2 linked regions of the Sus scrofa genome follow. The protein of the gene in region 2 purifies or fractionates together with the protein of the main gene of each other region. This does not show direct contact. Links are inferred from orthologs where the notes say so. Each region holds a gene or a part of one and is shown on either strand. Other genes may lie near its edges. The genes, in order: HRAS and MTHFD2.

Region 1 (8,561 bases), on a different chromosome or scaffold from region 2:
ACCGGTCCTGATGTCCCCATGGGGCACCCTTTTCCATCTCCCTGAGGCTCTGGGATGCCTTCAGCCTGGAGGGCGCATGAGTGCTCCCAGCCGTGGGATACACTGTCCTCAGGGTGCACAGGAGTGCGTAAACCCAAGCCCGGGGCACGCAGGCCGCCGAGGAGGGCTGGCCGGCACGCCGGCTGGGCAGGGCCCCTGGGAGAGGCGGCGGGAATGGGGCCGGCCCCTGCGGTGGCTCTCCTGGGTCCGGCAGAGCACGGCCGCTGCCCCCAGGAAGGGGGCTGAGCCTTCCCAGCGGGGCCCCCTGCTGGCCCTATGGCATCCCAGCCACGCGCCTCCTGAAGCTGCCCCTGGAAGGCCTCCTGAGTTTCTGCAGGACACCCCATCCCAGGCCGGGGCCTGGAGGACAATGCGGTGCTGCTCGAGCAGCGGCAGCCCTCGATGGCCGAGCTGCAAGCTGCACAGGAGAAATTCCAACCGGCGCCCCCGCCCCCAGGGGCTCAGCAGGGGTCTCCCCCTGCCCTGCAGGACAGTGAACCGTGGAGCACCCCAGGGCCTTCCTGCTCACCCCAGCCACCTGCTCATCTTCTCTAAGACTCAGCCACTGGCTGGGCCCCGGGGCAGCCACTGCAGACGCTGAACCTGACCTTCCTCGGCCCAAGGGATGTTCTCAGGGTGGGGCCCCACCCTGCACAGACCACACAGCCTGGGGGAGACGCCGACCCCAGCGTGCTCACTTCCAGTGGGCCCCGGGCCTGGAGCGACCGTCCAGAGCTCCCGCCTCGCCCCACCTCTCTCAGCAGAGATGCTCTTTGGGAAGGATGGGCTCTCTGGCCCACCTGCCCAGCACCAGCAGGCCAGGCCTGCCCACTGGCTGAGGAGCAGCAGCAAGAGAGTACCAAGGCCTCAGGCCTCCCTCGGGGGACCCCAGAGCCTCTGCATCTGGCCTGCCTGTCCCCAGCCAAGAGCAGTCCTCAGGATTGGCTGTGGCCATGGCGATGCACCCCCAGGGAACTACAAGTGCCCGCTCCAGTGGCCCCAAGACATCGGCTTTGAGCCTGAGTGCTGAGACCTTTGCCCTTGAGCATGGACCAAGGCCACCCTCAGGGCCACACCACAGGCCTGGGCCTGCAGCCCCACCGAGGACCAGCCACAGGTCCTGCCCAGCCCACCAAACACAGAGCCACAGAGCTCAGGACACCCTTCCTGCCCCCCCCAGGGCAATGACCAGCAGGGCCAAGACAGAGCTAGGACAATGCCCCGAGCGCCGCCCCAAGGCCCTGCAGGTGCCCACCCCGCCACCTCTGCATCCACAGAGAAACTGTACGCTCAGGGGCTCCCAGAGGAGGGGGTTATTGGGAGCACAGTGGCCCCAAGGCCCTGGGAGGCCAGCAACACACCTGCCTCTTCACGCTGGCCTGCCTGTGGGACAACGTCCGCCTCACAGCAGCTGCGGGCCAGGCCCTGGGAGGGCAGGGGCACGGCGAGCTGCCCCCTGCCAGGATGAAGACTGCTGTGGCCCTAAGCGGTCCAGAATTCCCACTGGAGACAAGACGAGCCCTCTCAGAGCTCTCTGTGGCCACCTGGGACATGGACATGCCCCACAGGGCCACTTCAGTGACCAGAACACCAGGCCACTCTTACTGAGGGCGTGGCTGGGGAAGGCGGGCCGGCCCCCCGTCCTACACCTAAGTGATAGGTTCCTAGAAGGATGGAGATAGACGCCTGGCCCCAAGATGTGGCTGTTGACCTTGGAGCCCTGCTGTAGACACCCTCTCCCGGAGCGCGGAAGCTCAAGTTGGGCAGCAAGAAACAACAGCCTGCGGAAGACCCCTGCCTGCACAGATTGGCCACCACCAAGGATGAACTGCCCTCTTCCCCCTCCCCGACCGTCCCCTCCTCCTCCTTTGCTGTCCCGCCACAGACCCTTCAAAAGCCCGGCATCACCTCGCGGCATCTCCTCTCAGTCAGGGCTGGCGCCATCCTGAGCCCAGCGCAGCCCCGCCTGATGTCTTAATAAATCTTTCTTGCGTTATCCACTTGGCCCTGTGCGCTTCTCCCTCGGCAAACCTGATGGCAAGAAGGCAAGGTCTGCCCAAGTCAGTGACTGCCTTTCGAGGTACCTAAAACTCAGGACACAGGATCCTACCCGGAGTCGGAAGGACCCCGCCCCGTCCTGGGACCACTCCCAAAGAAGGCCCCCCTCCCAGGGAGGGAACAGCCTCTGTCTCAACTTCCTGCCCTGCGGGGCAAAGCAATAACATTTCCACGTGTTAAGCGCTAGGCTGCCCTGTCTTGCGCCCAGAGGTCCCTGCAGGACGCACTGGGTACCCCGAGGCAGGAAGCCGCTGGCTGGCTGAAGCTGAGGCTCCCGCCAGCCTCCCGGGAGGCCACACACACCACAGCCTCCCAGCCTCAGCCAAATACCAGGGTCAAGACCATCAAATAATTTACTGCGATTCAGCCTGTGCCCAGCGGGCCGGGGAGGGGGCTGGAGGAGAGTGACAGCTGGGGTGCCAGTGGCGTCAGTCCACGACAGTCCGTGCAAAGCGTCCTGGGAGGCCTGCGGCCACTGTGGCCGCCGACCGGGGCTGGCCGGGCGCCGGCGGCACTTCCTTCCTTCCTCCTTCCTCCTTCCTCCGCGTGCGCCTCCTCCCCGCATCCGCCACCTCTGCGCCCCAGCGCCCAGCTGCATGGAGGCCCCGCAGAAGGTCCGCAGACGGGGCAGCGGCGGTGTCAGGAGAGCAGGCACTTGCAGCTCAGGCAGCCGGGGCCGCCCTCGTCGGGCGGGCTCAGCTTGCGCACCTTGTGCTGCCGGATCTCGCGCACCAGCGTGTAGAAGGCGTCCTCCACCCCCTGGGACGAGAGCGCGGGCTCAGGGCCGCCCCGCCGCGGCGCCGCCCCGCCCCTGGCCCACACTCGGGGAGCAGGGGCCCCAGGGCCACCGGTCAGGAGGCCTCTTCCTCAGCAGCTCCCCCACAGCCCACGAAGGGGTCAGGGCCGACAGGGGACTGCCCCCCCCGGGGGGGGCCCCCAGGGTCACCGCTCCGGCCTGGCTCAGGGCAGCTCTCTCCGGGGACCTCCACCTCCCCCCTTCCATCCGGGGACACTTACAGCAGGAGGGGCTGCTGGGTCACGGGGGTCCCGGAGGGTCCCAGAGGGTCCCGGAGCCGGAGCCAGAGCCAGAGCGGCTGCCCTGTGTCGAGGGAGAGGGGCGGTGAGCGCTGCTGCGGGCGGGGCGGGGCGGGGCCCTGGCCGGCTGGGGGCGGGGCTCCGGCTCACCTGTCGGGTCTTGGCTGAGGTCTCGATGTAAGGGATGCCATAGCTGCGAGCGAGGTCCTGGGCCTGCCGAGACTCCACGGTGCGCGCGGCCAGGTCACACTTGTTCCCCACCAGCACCATGGGCACGTCGTCCGAGTCCTTCACCCGCTTGATCTGCTCCCTGCAAGGGGAGGTGTGAGCCAGCGGGCAGGGTGCCGGCGTGCTCTGGGCCCCCAAGCGAGGCCCGCGGGCAGCTCACCTGTACTGGTGGATATCCTCGAAAGATTTGGTGTTGTTGATGGCGAACACGCAGAGGAAGCCCTCCCCGGTGCGCATGTACTGGTCCCGCATGGCACTGTACTCCTCCTGGCCCGCGGTGTCCAGGATGTCCAGCAGGCACGTCTCCCCGTCAATGACCACTTGCTTCCGGTAGGAGTCCTGAGGGGGGGACACCACTTAGGGACCTCTGGCCCGCCCGGGATGGGCTGTTCACACCACCAGCCCCTCCCGCGCTCCTCTCGTGCCCGCCCAGGACCTGTGACGAGGGGAACCCGTCCTGCAGAGCGGGCAGAAGACAAGCCCACATCGGGATGCGGGCTGGAGGCTCACCTCTATGGTGGGGTCGTACTCATCCACAAAGTGGTTCTGGATAAGCTGGATGGTCAGGGCACTCTTCCCCACACCTCCAGCGCCCACCACCACCAGCTTATACTCCGTCATCGCTCCTCAGGAGGCCACAGCACAGGACTGCAGTGGAGGAAGCAGCATTCAGCGTGGCCAGACCATGCAAGACAGGCCCGCTGAGCTCCCAGGGCCCGTACATCCAGGTAACAGGGGTCGCAGCCACAACCGCGGCCCCGCGGCGCACCTGTGGCACCTCCAGCTGCACTTAATGACTGCGGGAGAGAAGCAGGGAGCCGGCCCCAGAGGCAGGGCTGACAGGAGGGAGCATCTCCCAGGCACGCACCCGAATTAGAAGGTGCTGGATAGGCAAAAAGCCTGAACTGGAGGCACCGCGGGCTGAGGTTACAAGCGCCCCCCATGAGAACAGGTCTTGCCACAGTGGCGGGCCAGGCAGCATGCCCAGACAGGCCTGTGGCAGCCAACAACCAGCTCCAGGCCCCTCCGGGCATGCTGGTGCATTTGACAAGTATTCACTGAGTGCCTACTGCATGCCAGGTGCTGTTCCAGGCACAGGGTGACAGGCAGTCGGGAGGAACCCCTACCGACAAGCTCAGGCCACGCTCCAAGCCAGACTCACATAAGTGAAAATAAAGGGAAACCTGCGGCGCCCTCTCGGCATAAGAACTTTGGGGAACATAAACCAAGGCAGGTGAAGAGGCCGGCAGGGGCCAGGGCTCCAGGAAGCAGGAGCTGATCAACAGGAAAAGACCTTGTGTGGCACAAGGGAACAAGCGAGAAGGGAAAAAAAGGGCCTGGGGCCAAGGCCCCCCAGCCCCAGCTGGAGATGTTTAGACAGGGTAGGTACCCTGCGGGGACAGAGGGCAGTGACTTCCTAAACTCTAGGTTTGCCTGGTGTGTGTGATGGCCGCCGGGTGCCCGAGTTCTTCGCAGGGATCCTTGGAACGCTGCAGGGGGAGAGACTTTGCCCAGGGCCATGGTCATGGGCGGGCCTCGGCTCGGGGAGCAGTCAGAGAACAGACTGAGAGCGCTTGCGGGGCCCCAGAAGACAGGGCCCGGGACCTGGAGTCGGAGGGGCTGGCCTGGGCGAGGCAGGGCGTACCAGCCGCCGCCTGCAGCCCCAGCCGCAGCGCCCCGCCCGCCGCCGCCCGCGGCTCACCTGCGCCCCCGCGCGCCCGCGCGCCCAGCGAGAACCGCGGGCCCCCGTCCGGCCCGGCCCCCGCCGCCCCCCGTGGTCCCCGCCGCACTCACCGCTCACTGGCGCGACTGCCCCCGGGGCCGGGGCCGGGGCCGGGGCGGGGGCGGCGGCGGGGGCCGGGGCCAGGGCGCGCGGCTCGCCCAGTGCATGGGCTCCGTCCGCGGCGGGTGCGGCTCCGGCAGCTGGCTGCGGACTCTCGACCGGGCCCGCGCACGCCCCGCCTCGCCCCCGTCCGTCAACCAGGCGCGGCCCGCCATTGGCTGCGCCTGCCGGGCCCCGCCCTAGAGCCTCTTCGCCCCGCCCCGATTGGCCGGGAGGCCCGCCTGTCAGATGCCTCGGGCCGGGCGGGGCTTCCGGGAGCGGCGCGGAGGGCGGTGTCGGCCCTGGTGGCCCGCGTGGGCCGCGGCCTGTGGGTCTTGGTGGGCCGGCTGTGGGGTCCGGGGGAGGAAGCTGCTCCGTGGACGGCCTGGACTCTCCCAGGAATAAGCAGGGCCCTCAGGGAGACAGAGATCCCGCGGAGAAGCGGGTCGAGGCCCGTTGCGGACTGGGGCAGGGTCCTCAGGGCCCAACTCGAGCCCCGCACCGGGCCCCTCGGCCCTCGAAGTTGCTCACGGGTGCGCCCACGCGCCCCAGGCTCTCCCTGCGCTGCGCAGCCCACCGCAGGGGGTCGGGGAGCGGAGGGGACAGCCCGGGGGCCGAGCCTCAGGGAAGATGGAGCCCGCGAGGTCAGCACCGAAGACACGCGGGGAGCCGGGGCCGTAGAAAATCGGAGCGGCTGCGGGGAGGAGGGGCAGGGGCAGGTGGCTCCTGGAGGCGCTCCTACCGCTCCCGGGACGCCTGGCAGCTTCGGCGGGGTCGTTGGTCTCAGCTCAAATCTTACGTCTAGGGCCTGACGGGGGCGTCTGAGCCCACGGAGCATTGAATCTGGCCAAGTGTTTTTACCGGGGGTTGGGGGGGGCTACTCACGTAGCGACTGGCGCTCGGAGAAGGGCCCCTCTTCCCCATCCCTCATCACCAGCTTCCCCCAATTTGGGCAGACCTTGCAGACTCCCTGTCCAAGCAGCTTCCCCCAAACCCGGAGGTCCCAGCGCTGCAGAAGCTCACCCTGAGGCCCAGTTAGCAAAAGGTACCCAGCAAATCCAACCCAGAAGGGGGTGAGGTGAAGTCTCCTTCATCCGAGGCGCAAACATGCCCACCGGCCCTCCTTTAGAGGCTCTCAGAAACACATGTTTTCAGCATTTTAGAAATTTTCAAAGTAACGAATAAACGCATCCTGCTTGTTTACCAGAAAAAACGGTGCATTACACGTATGGCCAAACCTCCCTCGGCTCAGCCGGCACCCCCTTCCATCCCTACTCCTCCCGCGCCGGCTCCGCGCTGCTCCCCAGGAGCTCACCCCGCTGAGGCCTCGACCATGGCAGGCCCCCGGGGGTCCGCCCCTGGCCCCACGACCGCGCCCACCCCACCCCGGCTGTGTCCCCCCCACCCCGGCAGTCTAGCGCGCTGCGCCGCGCCGGCGACAGAGCTCGGCTGGTGCCTGACGCACGTAGACGCGAAGTAAAGGCGGACAAATGAAAACGGGCGGCGGCGTCCCTCGCCGGCGCGGACACTCTGGACTCCCCTCTAGGTGTCCAGGTCTGCATTTCCCTCGTCTTCAGAGGGTCCTGTCCCACAGCGCGCCCTTTTGTCGTGGCGTCGGCCGCACTGGCAGGTGGAGGTAAATCCCGCAGGGCCTGGGCCTCAGTCAGGGACGACCCTACAGGGGCGCCTCTCGCTAGAGAAAGGTGGGCGCGAGTCTTCACCCCAGATCACCTTGCGGGGGTCGACACCGGGCCTGTCTGCGCCCGCCAGCTCCGTGGCGTCTCACCTCGCCACCCTCCCTCCCGGCTCGAGGGGCGTTCACACGCTTGCGGGCGGAACAGCGCGAACCCCCGAGCGGGTGGGCGGCCGCCAGGCCTGGCCGCCGGCCCTAGCAACCGTTGCTAAGGGGGCGTGGCTCGACCGCGCGGAGCCTGGAAGGTTCCCGAGACTCATGAATATGTGCACTTTCAGCAGAGGCCCCGCCCCCGTTGCCTTGGCGCCCGGGCCCCTCAACCCCGAGGCCGGAAGAACAACCCCGAGTCAAGGCGAGCGCCCGGCGGAGGAGGGTGCCCAGGGCCAGGCCCCCGGGGTGGGGGCACCGGGCCGACCCATCAGGTGAGAGCCCAGGGCGCCTTTGGGTCCCGGGCCGCAGGCCCAGCTATCTCCCCCGTGCCAGGGAGAAACTGCGGCCGAGGATGAAGCAGCAAATCCAGCGGGGTCCCAGGAATACCCCAGATGTCAAGTCTGGCCCCCTGGGGACCCAGCCCACATCCCCTGACCAGTGCTCTGAGGGGTGCACAGTCACCGGGACAGGAGAGACCCCAAGCCCTGCGCGGGGACCCAGAGCCCGCGGGTTTCCAGAGTGGAGAACTAGGAGGGGAGCCAGCCCTGTCCTCAGAGGGATGGCGGGTGGAGGGACACAAAGAGCCCACAGGCCAGGCCAGGAGTTGGCATTAGCCCAGGTGGTGGAGGGAGAAGGGCGCCCTGGTGTCCAGCTCCAGGAGCTCGTGGAGCGGCAGGGCAGGATGGGCTCAGGGCTGTGACCAGGGCAGACAGGTCCAGCCAGTGATGGGTGTGAGGGGACAGTGTCTAGATGGAAGCCGCAGCCTCTCACCCAGGCGCTGCTCCCAGGAGCCCAAGCCCCTGGGCTAGATAGGACCCATTCTCTGGATCTGTGAACAGGACCTCAGGGCAGCTGCTGTTGGGCGCAGAGAAAGAGGGTAGTGCCCTGGCATCCGAGGCCACAGCCCGGTCACCCCCCACACCTTCCCCTTAGCCCAGGGCTGGCAGCTGGGGGGCGGGGGAGCTGGGCAGCCTCTTCCCAGGGGCCCGTGGTGGGGCCCTCCTTCCAGGTTTGGGGGCCTGTCACCAGCTGAAGGAGAGCCGACAGCAGAGGAGCATTTGGAAAGAAATCCTGGCCAGAAACTCCATGAGGCCCTGCAAGCCCTTAACCTTCTTGGATCCTTGGTGCAGGGTCACTTTCCAAACAAGGGACATGGAGCACAAGGCCCAGTCCTCACTCCCGCCTCCTCATCAAAGCCCAGCCGGGGTGCGGGTGGCTCTGGATGTGGTGGAGAGGAAGAAGCTTGAGTGTACCCCCAGGAGCCTGATACAGATGAGAGCAGAGGCCAAAAGCTGCATCTGCCAAATTCGCTGATTTTTAGGGGAGTGTTTAGAGCCCCTGTTCTGGACACTGGCCCTAGCAGGCGAGCGTCCTCCCCACACAGAGCCCATGCTGTCTTGGGGCAAAGCCCTCAACTAGGAGGGTCCGTCTCATCAGGATGTAAATCCAGGAGATCCTGTTGTGGCTCAGTGGTTAACAAATCCGACTAGGTACCATGAGGTTTTGGGTTCGATCCCTGGCCTTGCTCAGTGGGTT
Region 2 (7,996 bases):
GGTACTGTTGGAGCCCAAAATGGGGCGTTCTTGAGAGAAGACTTCAGACTGGCCCCTTCAGAGGGGACAAAGATTTCCTTAGTCTGACCCTGACCTGCCTTTCCAGCTCTGCCTTTCCAGCTCTGCCTTTTTTGTTGCTGTCTTTTATTACCAGCTGTTCTCCTCCCTTCCTGAGTTCTGGCCACGTGTGCTTGTGGCTTCCATGATTGTGAAGAGATCCTCAACCTCATGGTTCCTAGTCAGATTCGTTTCTGCTGCAGGACAGCGGGAACTCCTGAACTGGAGGATTTTTTTATAAATCTCTTCACAATCACGGATGAAAAAAATCCTCCAGTTCAGGAGTTCCCACTGTGGCACAGCAGAAACGAATCCGACTAGGAACCATGAGGTTGAGGGTTTGATCCCTGGCCTCGCTTGGTGGGTTAAGGGTCTGGTGTGTAGGTCTTAGACGTGGCTGGGATCCTGTGTGGCTGTGGCTATTGTGTATGCCGGCAGCTGTAGCTCCCATTTGACCCCTAGCCTGGGAACCTCCATATGCCTCGGGTGGGGCCCTAAAAAGAAAAAGAAAAAAATCCTCCAGTTTATTACTTAGAGAACTGGACCAGTTTGCTCACACTCTCCAGCAACAAATGATGTTGTTTCACTTCCTTTTCAGAATAAACAGGTAGGCTTCCTCAGCTTTGAAGGCAATAAGTACATTTGGATTCAGGGTGCCAATGTATTGCTTTGATTACTGCTGCCTGGTAAATTTAAAACAGCATCTTTTACAAAATATGGGCCTGCATGTTTTCCCTTTTTAGGGACCTTAGTGTGAGAGTTTTTATGGTTAGAGAGATAGTACTGCAGTCTAGGAGACAGTGGGGTATAGGAAAAAAATGGATTTTGGAGGCAGAAATTCATGTTTGAATTTTGTTTTTATTGTCCTCAGGTTCTCCTTTCTGTATAACAGGCTTATTGTAATAGCTCTGAGGTAACCAAGAGTAATGTATGTAAAACTCTTAGCAAAATACCTAGTGTTTAATGGATGTTCGTTCCATCCCTCTTTGTGCCTTTGTTCACTCATTACTGGTTCCATTAATTAGTAACAGAACTATTTCCAAAATAACTTGATCGTGAATTGTAAAATGTACCTGATATTAATTTTTCATGGAAAATTATAGTACTGTAAACTTTTGAATTAGGAAGAAAGTGTGGATATTACTGACGTGGGTTTTCCAGTTTTGACTTTTATTTGGACAGTCCTCTTCTTTCTAGTTGATTGATTCATAATTTTAACAGAAAAATTTCTAAGCATGTCTGTGAGGGAGTTCCCCTTGTGGCTCAGCAGAAATGAACCCGGCTAGTATCCATGGGATGCACGAGTACGCAGGTTTGATCCCTGGCCTCACTCACTGTGTTAAAGGATCAGAGTTGCCTACAGCTGCTGTGTAGGTCACAGATGCGGCTCAGATCCAGCATGGCTGCAGCTGTGATATAGGCCGTTAACTGTAGCTCTGGTTCGACCCCTAGCCTGGGAACTTCCGTACGCCTGCTGAAAGTATGGCCCTAAAAAGCAAACAAAAAACAAATCCCAAAAAACCCACATCTGTGAAAGCACTCCTAAATAAGTGTTAGCTAATATGATTAATAAATTTCGGATTCCTTGTAGGACTGATCTCAGTCTCCATTTCCATTTATTTTGGGGTAGCAGTAACTTTATCTGCTCTTTGGCAAAAAAAAGAAAAAGAAAAAGAATAAAAAGAATGTTGGGAAATTTACTGACGAGTCCCTCCTCCCTCCTCCCTCAGGACTGTGTTTTGCATTATGCAGAGTTGTAGTTTGGAGAGGATGGCTGAAACAGTTACACTATGAAAGATACTCATTGCATTGTGGCTTTGTTTTGGTTCTTGTTATTCTTTGACTTTTTTCTTTTTAAGCAAATTGGCATAACATCCAGAACTTGCCTTTAGAACTTGGAACACTGGATTCACCCAGCGTTCTTAACTTTTATATCATGCTTAGTCCAAATGTACTGTTGCCATTTTCTCTAAGTTTACTGCTTTCAGAAGGAACTTTTTAAGGAAGTGCAGTCTCAGTTCTTCTCACCGAGTGTTTTTATATAGATATCCTTATGAGTGTGTAAATAAATGTCTCTTGTATAGTAAGTGTGTGTGTGTTTGTAAATGTAATCAAAGAAGCAAGCCAGAAGTTAATTTTTAGTGAATATATGTGTGCCTGGCACTTTATGTTATTTCATTCAATATAAATGACTGCCCAAAATCCTTTTATTCTTTCACTCTATTCTGTTCCAATGTTGGGACTCTATTTCTGGCCCGAGACAGGTACTCCTGGTATCACTATAGATCAAGAACACACCAGGAGAGTTCCTGTTGTGACTCGGCAGGTTAAAGAATCCAGCTAATATCCATGAAGATGTGGGTTTAATCCCTGGCCTCACTCCATGGGTTAAGGATCTGGCATTGCCGCAAGCTGCAGCGTAGGTCACAGATGCAGCTCGGGTCCCCGAGTTGTCGGGGTTGTGACGTAGGCTGGCAGCTGCAGCTCCAATTCGACTCCCAGCCCAGGAACTTCCATATGTCTCAGATTGGGCCCTAAAAAGAAAAACAAACAAACAAAAAACAAACCCAAAATAATATTGTGTCAACCATACATCTGAAATGGATTTGTAAATATTAACATGTTTTCAATTCCTTAATATTCCACGAATATGTATGAAATGCTCTTAGATATTTTGTGCTGTGCTAGTATTATCACAGAGAATCTGGGGAAAAGCATTTGGTTTGGTATAAAACTGCAGTATCTTCTTAATATGTCAAAAGATGCAAATACAAATTAATATAAATTTGCTGCATTATGTCTAAAACATTGAGATTTGGTTTAAAGTAGATTTTTAATCACAATGCAAATGAAAAGCAGTCTTTGAAGGCTTAATGACAATTAAAGCTTTAAAATTCCATTTTAATTAACAGTGGCCTTAAGAATTAATTATATCTGATCATGTAAGATATCCTTGATATTATCCCTGAGGATTAAATATGTGCTCTAAGGGGAAATATATTGTTTCTACGTTTGAAACAGCTGTATTCATCATTGGTCTTGGAGTTGGAACATTCCTTATGAATGTTGTTTTCAGTGGGGCCTTTTTAGGGCCAAACCTGAGGCATGTGGAAGTTCCCAGGCTAGGGGTCCAATCAGAGCTGCGGCTTCCAGCCTACGTCACAGCCATAGCAACTGTGGATACTTAACCCACTGAGCAAGCCCAGGGATTGAACCTGCATCCTCATGGATGCTAGTCAGATTCATTTCAGTTGAGCTACAACTGGAACTGTGTTGGAAATGTGTTTAATAACACATTTTTGGGGGGTTCCTGTCGTGGCTCAGTAGTTAACGAATCCGACCAGGAACCATGAAATGGTGGGTTCAATCCCTGGCCTTGCTCAGTGGGTTAAGGATCCGGCATTGCTGTGAGCTGTGGTGTAGGTTGCAGACATGGCTTGGATTTGCCTTACTGTGGCTGTGACGTTGGCCAATGGATATAGCTCCAATTCGACCCCTAGTCTGGGAACCTCCATATGCTGTGGGTGTGGCCCTAGAAAAGACAAAACAAAAACAAAAAAACAAACAAAAAACAAACAAAAAAACCAGCAACAACATTTTTGTAGTCTGATCTTTCCCAAAATTCTTGTGTCTCTGTTGCATTCTGCAGAAGTGAAGCTGTTGTCATTTCTGGAAAGAAGCTTGCTGAGCAGATCAAGCAGGAAGTGCGGCAGGAGGTGGAGGAGTGGGTGGCATCAGGCAACAAGCGACCACACCTGAGTGTGGTCCTGGTTGGTGAGAACCCTGCAAGTCACTCTTATGTCCTCAACAAAACCAGAACAGCTGCCGATGTGGGTATGTGTCACTCTCAGACCCCGCCAGCTTTTAAATCGAGATTTATCCAAGGCAAACCCTATTGTAGTTCATTATTCCTTTTTCTATTTTTTTATTATTTAAATTTAAAAAAATTTTATTGGCATATACTTGCTTTACAATGTGTTAGTTTCAGGTACACAGCAAAGTGAAAAATGTCTCTCTATTCTTTTTCAGGTTATTTTCCCATACAGATTATTACAGAATTTTTATTTTAAAAATTTTTGTATTTTTCATTTTTTTTAGGGCCACACTTGCAGCATATGGAGGTTCCCAGGCTAGGGGTCAAATTGGAGCCACAGCTGCTGGCCTATGCCAGAGCCATAGCACCACAGGATCCAAGTTGCATATGTAATCTATGCCACAGCTTGTGGCAACACTGGATCCTTAACTCACTGAGCAAGGCCAGGGATTGAACCTGCATCCTCATGGATACCGTCTCAGGTTCTTACCCACTGAGCCGCAATGGGAACTCCCAGATTATTGAGTAGAGTTCCCTGTGCAATACAATAGGTCCTTGTTAGTTATCTATTTTATATTATTCTTTTTCTGATTTGAAAACCCAAGCAGAAGAAGTTAATGTGATTGAGCTGTGTCTAATATTTGTCATAAAGATTCAGGCTGTATTTGGGGGAGGCTTAGAGACTAGGACAGAAGGAATATGGTTGGTATTTTTGGTGTCTTCTGGGATGTAAGCTAAATTCTGCCCTAGTCTTAACCTTCGATAGGTGACCTTGAATACAAGTGTACATCTGCTTTCCTTGAGCAGTAATGAATCCCTGAAAGAGGTGTTTGAGCACTTGGTGGAGGAGACCTTGGTGATGTGGCCTAGAACACAGTCATGGATTTGAAGGAAATGACTCTGACTTCTTTGAAATAGCCTTCAATTTCCCCACCAGTTCATTCCAAAGCAATTCAGTCATGCATTTCGAAGTAGTTGGAGGTTTGGATGCAGAGGGTGCAGGTCTGAGTGACAGGAGGTCTGTGTTCTTGGCTTTACTATATTGCAGACTGGATGACCGTAGACCAGAGGAGGGTAGGCTCAACTGATGCCTGCCACTTATATGTGAGTCACTGGTCTTAGCACTGTGCCCTGCTCTTCTAAGGGGTGTGAAACCACTGGCATATCTGGGTAGTATTAGTGGACTGTGAGCCCTTGGTGTATTCTGTTCTTTATCATTGAGGGTTGAGGCCTCCTGCCCTTTTCACTGAAAAACCTTTAGAACCTCTAGAAAATAGTAAACCATTAAGACACTGGATGGGAGGTAGCATGGCACAGTGGGAACAACATGGATTTTGGAACTGGAAAGATTGGCTTTGTCACTAGCCAGCTTGTGGTTCAGTTTTGCTGAGCCTTGTCTAGAAAAGGAGGTTGATGAGGATCATCTAGAATAATGTATAAAAAGTATCAAACTAGGATTCTTTAATGTCTGTATTAGAGAAGTTAGTTAAGATTCTTTGTGAGCCTGCTCAAGCTTTTTAGCTACCAGGGTGGGTATGATGACAAAAAAAAACCTAGCCGGTAGTGTGGCAGGCAGCATAGCATTGCCTCAATAAATGTCTCTTTTTTTTTTTTTTTTTTTTTCCTTTTTTTCTTTTTAGGGCTGCACCTGGGGCATATGGAAGTTTCCATACTAGGGGTCAAATTGGAGCTGCAGCTGCTGGCCTACACCATAGCTATAGCAACTCAGGATCCAGGCTGTATCTGTGACCTACACCACAGCTTGTAGCAATGCTGGATACTTAACCCACTGAGCAAGGCCAGTGATAGAACCTGTATCCTAGTTGGGTTCTTAACCCACTGAGCCACAATGGGAATTCCTGCCTCTGGGCTTTTTTTTTTTTTTAATTTTTTAAATGATTTTTATTTTTTCTATCAAAGCTGGTTTACATGGCTTTCTTTTTTTTTTGTCTTTTTGGCTTTTCTAGGGCCGCTTCTGCAGCATATGGAGGTTCCCAGGCTAGGCGTCTGTCTCATCAGAGCTGTAGCCGCCGGCCTACACCATAGCCACAGCAACGCAGGATCCAAGCTTCATCTGCAACCTACACCACAGCTCGCGGCAACGCCGGATCCTTAACCCACTGAGCAAGGCCAGGGATCAAACCCGCAACCTCATGGTTCCTAGTCGGATTCGTTAACCATTGAGCCACAATGGGAACTCCTACATGGGTTTCTTTTTTAAACTTTGAAATTTTCTTGTAGGAATCAGCAGTGAGACAATTATGAAACCAGCTTCAATTTCAGAGGAAGAACTGTTGAGTTTAATCAGTAAACTAAACAATGATGATAATGTAGACGGCCTCCTTGTTCAGCTGCCTCTTCCAGGTGAGTTTTGGACACCACCATTTAAAATGATCTCTGAGGAGTGCAGAGGCCTGTTTCCTTTATACAACTGGCCCCTCGGGTGGATTTGACTCAAAGGGGAGTTAAACTCAAGAGTAGATATGTCATCAGATATGGGGCAGATTTTTTTTTTTAATTTTTAATTCATTAATTTATTGTTTTGGCTGCACCCACAGTATGTGGAAGTTCCTGGACCAGGGATCAAACTTGTGCCACGGCATCGACCCAAGCTGCTACAGGGACAACGCCAGATGCTTAACCCGCTGCACCGCAAGGGAACTCTGGTATTGAGATCTTGATGCAAAGGACAGGGAAGGGAAGCTGTGGTACAAGAGGACCCTGGCTTTGATCTCAGCATTTGACTTTGCTAGGTGTGTGTTCCTTGTGCACAGATGAAGAGAGACGTCACGGGGGCACGTTGGAGAAGGAGAATGGGTTTTTGCAGCAAACCAGATAAGCCGGAGTCAAGCAGTGCTAACTGTGTGGCAGTGACTTAAAACCACCACTTGGATTTCTTTTTCAGAGCACATTGATGAGAGAAGGATCTGCAATGCTGTTTCTCCAGACAAGGATGTCGATGGCTTTCATGTAATTAACGTCGGGCGAATGTGCTTGGACCAGAATTCCATGTTACCGGCTACTCCATGGGGTGTGTGGGAAATAATTAAGCGAACTGGTAGGTATATCCCATAACTGGATGTCTGTCTCAGTACCACAAAAGCACTACTTACAAATGGTAAAAACCCACAGAGTAGCAAAGAGTGGAAACTCCCACCCTATGTCTTCTCATCCTTCTCCCTAGAGCCTAGCTCTCTCTTAGCAATGCCTACAACTGTTTCTCCTGTTTAATCCAGAAACCTCTGAGGGAACCTTAAGCTTAATAGCACATTCATGTAGCATTTTCTAGCTTGACAGAACATGTCCTTTGAGCCTCCATCATGTGTAGCAAGTGATAGTCCGGGTGACTGCTAAGGCAATAAGCGTAGTGACTTCCTTCATTATCACAATTAGAGTCACATCCTAGGCCATCAGCCTTCCTTTTCCTCAGGTGCTCTTTCTAAGATAATCTGGCACAATCCTAAATGCAAATTGTATATTTTTTGCAGGCATTCCAACCCTAGGGAAGAATGTGGTTGTGGCTGGAAGATCAAAAAACGTTGGCATGCCCATTGCAATGTTATTGCACACAGATGGGGCGCATGAGCGACCCGGAGGTAAGGAAATTGCTGTCACATGAGTGTCCCCTTCTCTCTTATGGGAGAACCTCCAGAGGCTGCCCTGTGGCTATTTGGAAGTGTTAACTTCGTTAAGCTTCATGTTTGTTGTAATTTTGTTAACAGATAATTGGGGAGTAATCTTTGTAGGAGAAGCTGGGCTCGGTATCACCTGGAGTTTATTTATATTCATTTAGGATGGACTAGTTCAGAAATAGATCTGCCTGAGAAATAAATTTGTGTTTTGAAGTATCAGCATGGTTGTAGGCAATTAGAAAGTTCAGTTACGGCTTTGAGAGTTGGAGCTAAGAACAAGTTCTTATTCCAAGTTTGTATCCTGGTCTGTGCCATTTGGTAGAAAAAAATCTTAGACCATTTTAAAGCATTTTTAAAATTTTTATTTTATTTTATTTTTTGGCTTTTTTTTTTTTTTTTTTTGTCTTTTCAGGGCTGCACCCATGGTATATGGAGGTTCCCAGGCTAGGGGTCGAATCGGAGCTGTAGCTGCCAGCCTGCGCCACAGCCACAG

Evidence for each region.
Region 1: the proteins of MTHFD2 (region 2) and HRAS purify together in Homo sapiens (co-immunoprecipitation; 4 studies listed by BioGRID and IntAct, with this or other methods). This does not show direct contact. The link is inferred for Sus scrofa from reciprocal best matches to the Homo sapiens genes MTHFD2 and HRAS.

What each region holds. Positions count from the first base shown.
Region 1 is NC_010444.4:297,230-305,790, forward strand, and holds HRAS (GTPase HRas), read right to left. Parts: upstream 5,311-8,561; 5' UTR 5,155-5,310; intron 4,009-5,154; 5' UTR 3,982-4,008; coding exon 3,871-3,981; intron 3,700-3,870; coding exon 3,521-3,699; intron 3,443-3,520; coding exon 3,283-3,442; intron 3,197-3,282; coding exon of another isoform or gene 3,134-3,196; exon of another isoform or gene 3,115-3,133; intron 2,857-3,114; coding exon 2,737-2,856; 3' UTR 2,433-2,736; downstream 1-2,432. UniProt on the Homo sapiens protein: Involved in the activation of Ras protein signal transduction. Ras proteins bind GDP/GTP and possess intrinsic GTPase activity.
Region 2 is NC_010445.4:68,824,394-68,832,389, reverse strand, and holds part of MTHFD2 (bifunctional methylenetetrahydrofolate dehydrogenase/cyclohydrolase, mitochondrial), read left to right. Parts: intron 1-3,706; coding exon 3,707-3,891; intron 3,892-6,112; coding exon 6,113-6,235; intron 6,236-6,776; coding exon 6,777-6,929; intron 6,930-7,359; coding exon 7,360-7,467; intron 7,468-7,996. UniProt on the Homo sapiens protein: Although its dehydrogenase activity is NAD-specific, it can also utilize NADP at a reduced efficiency.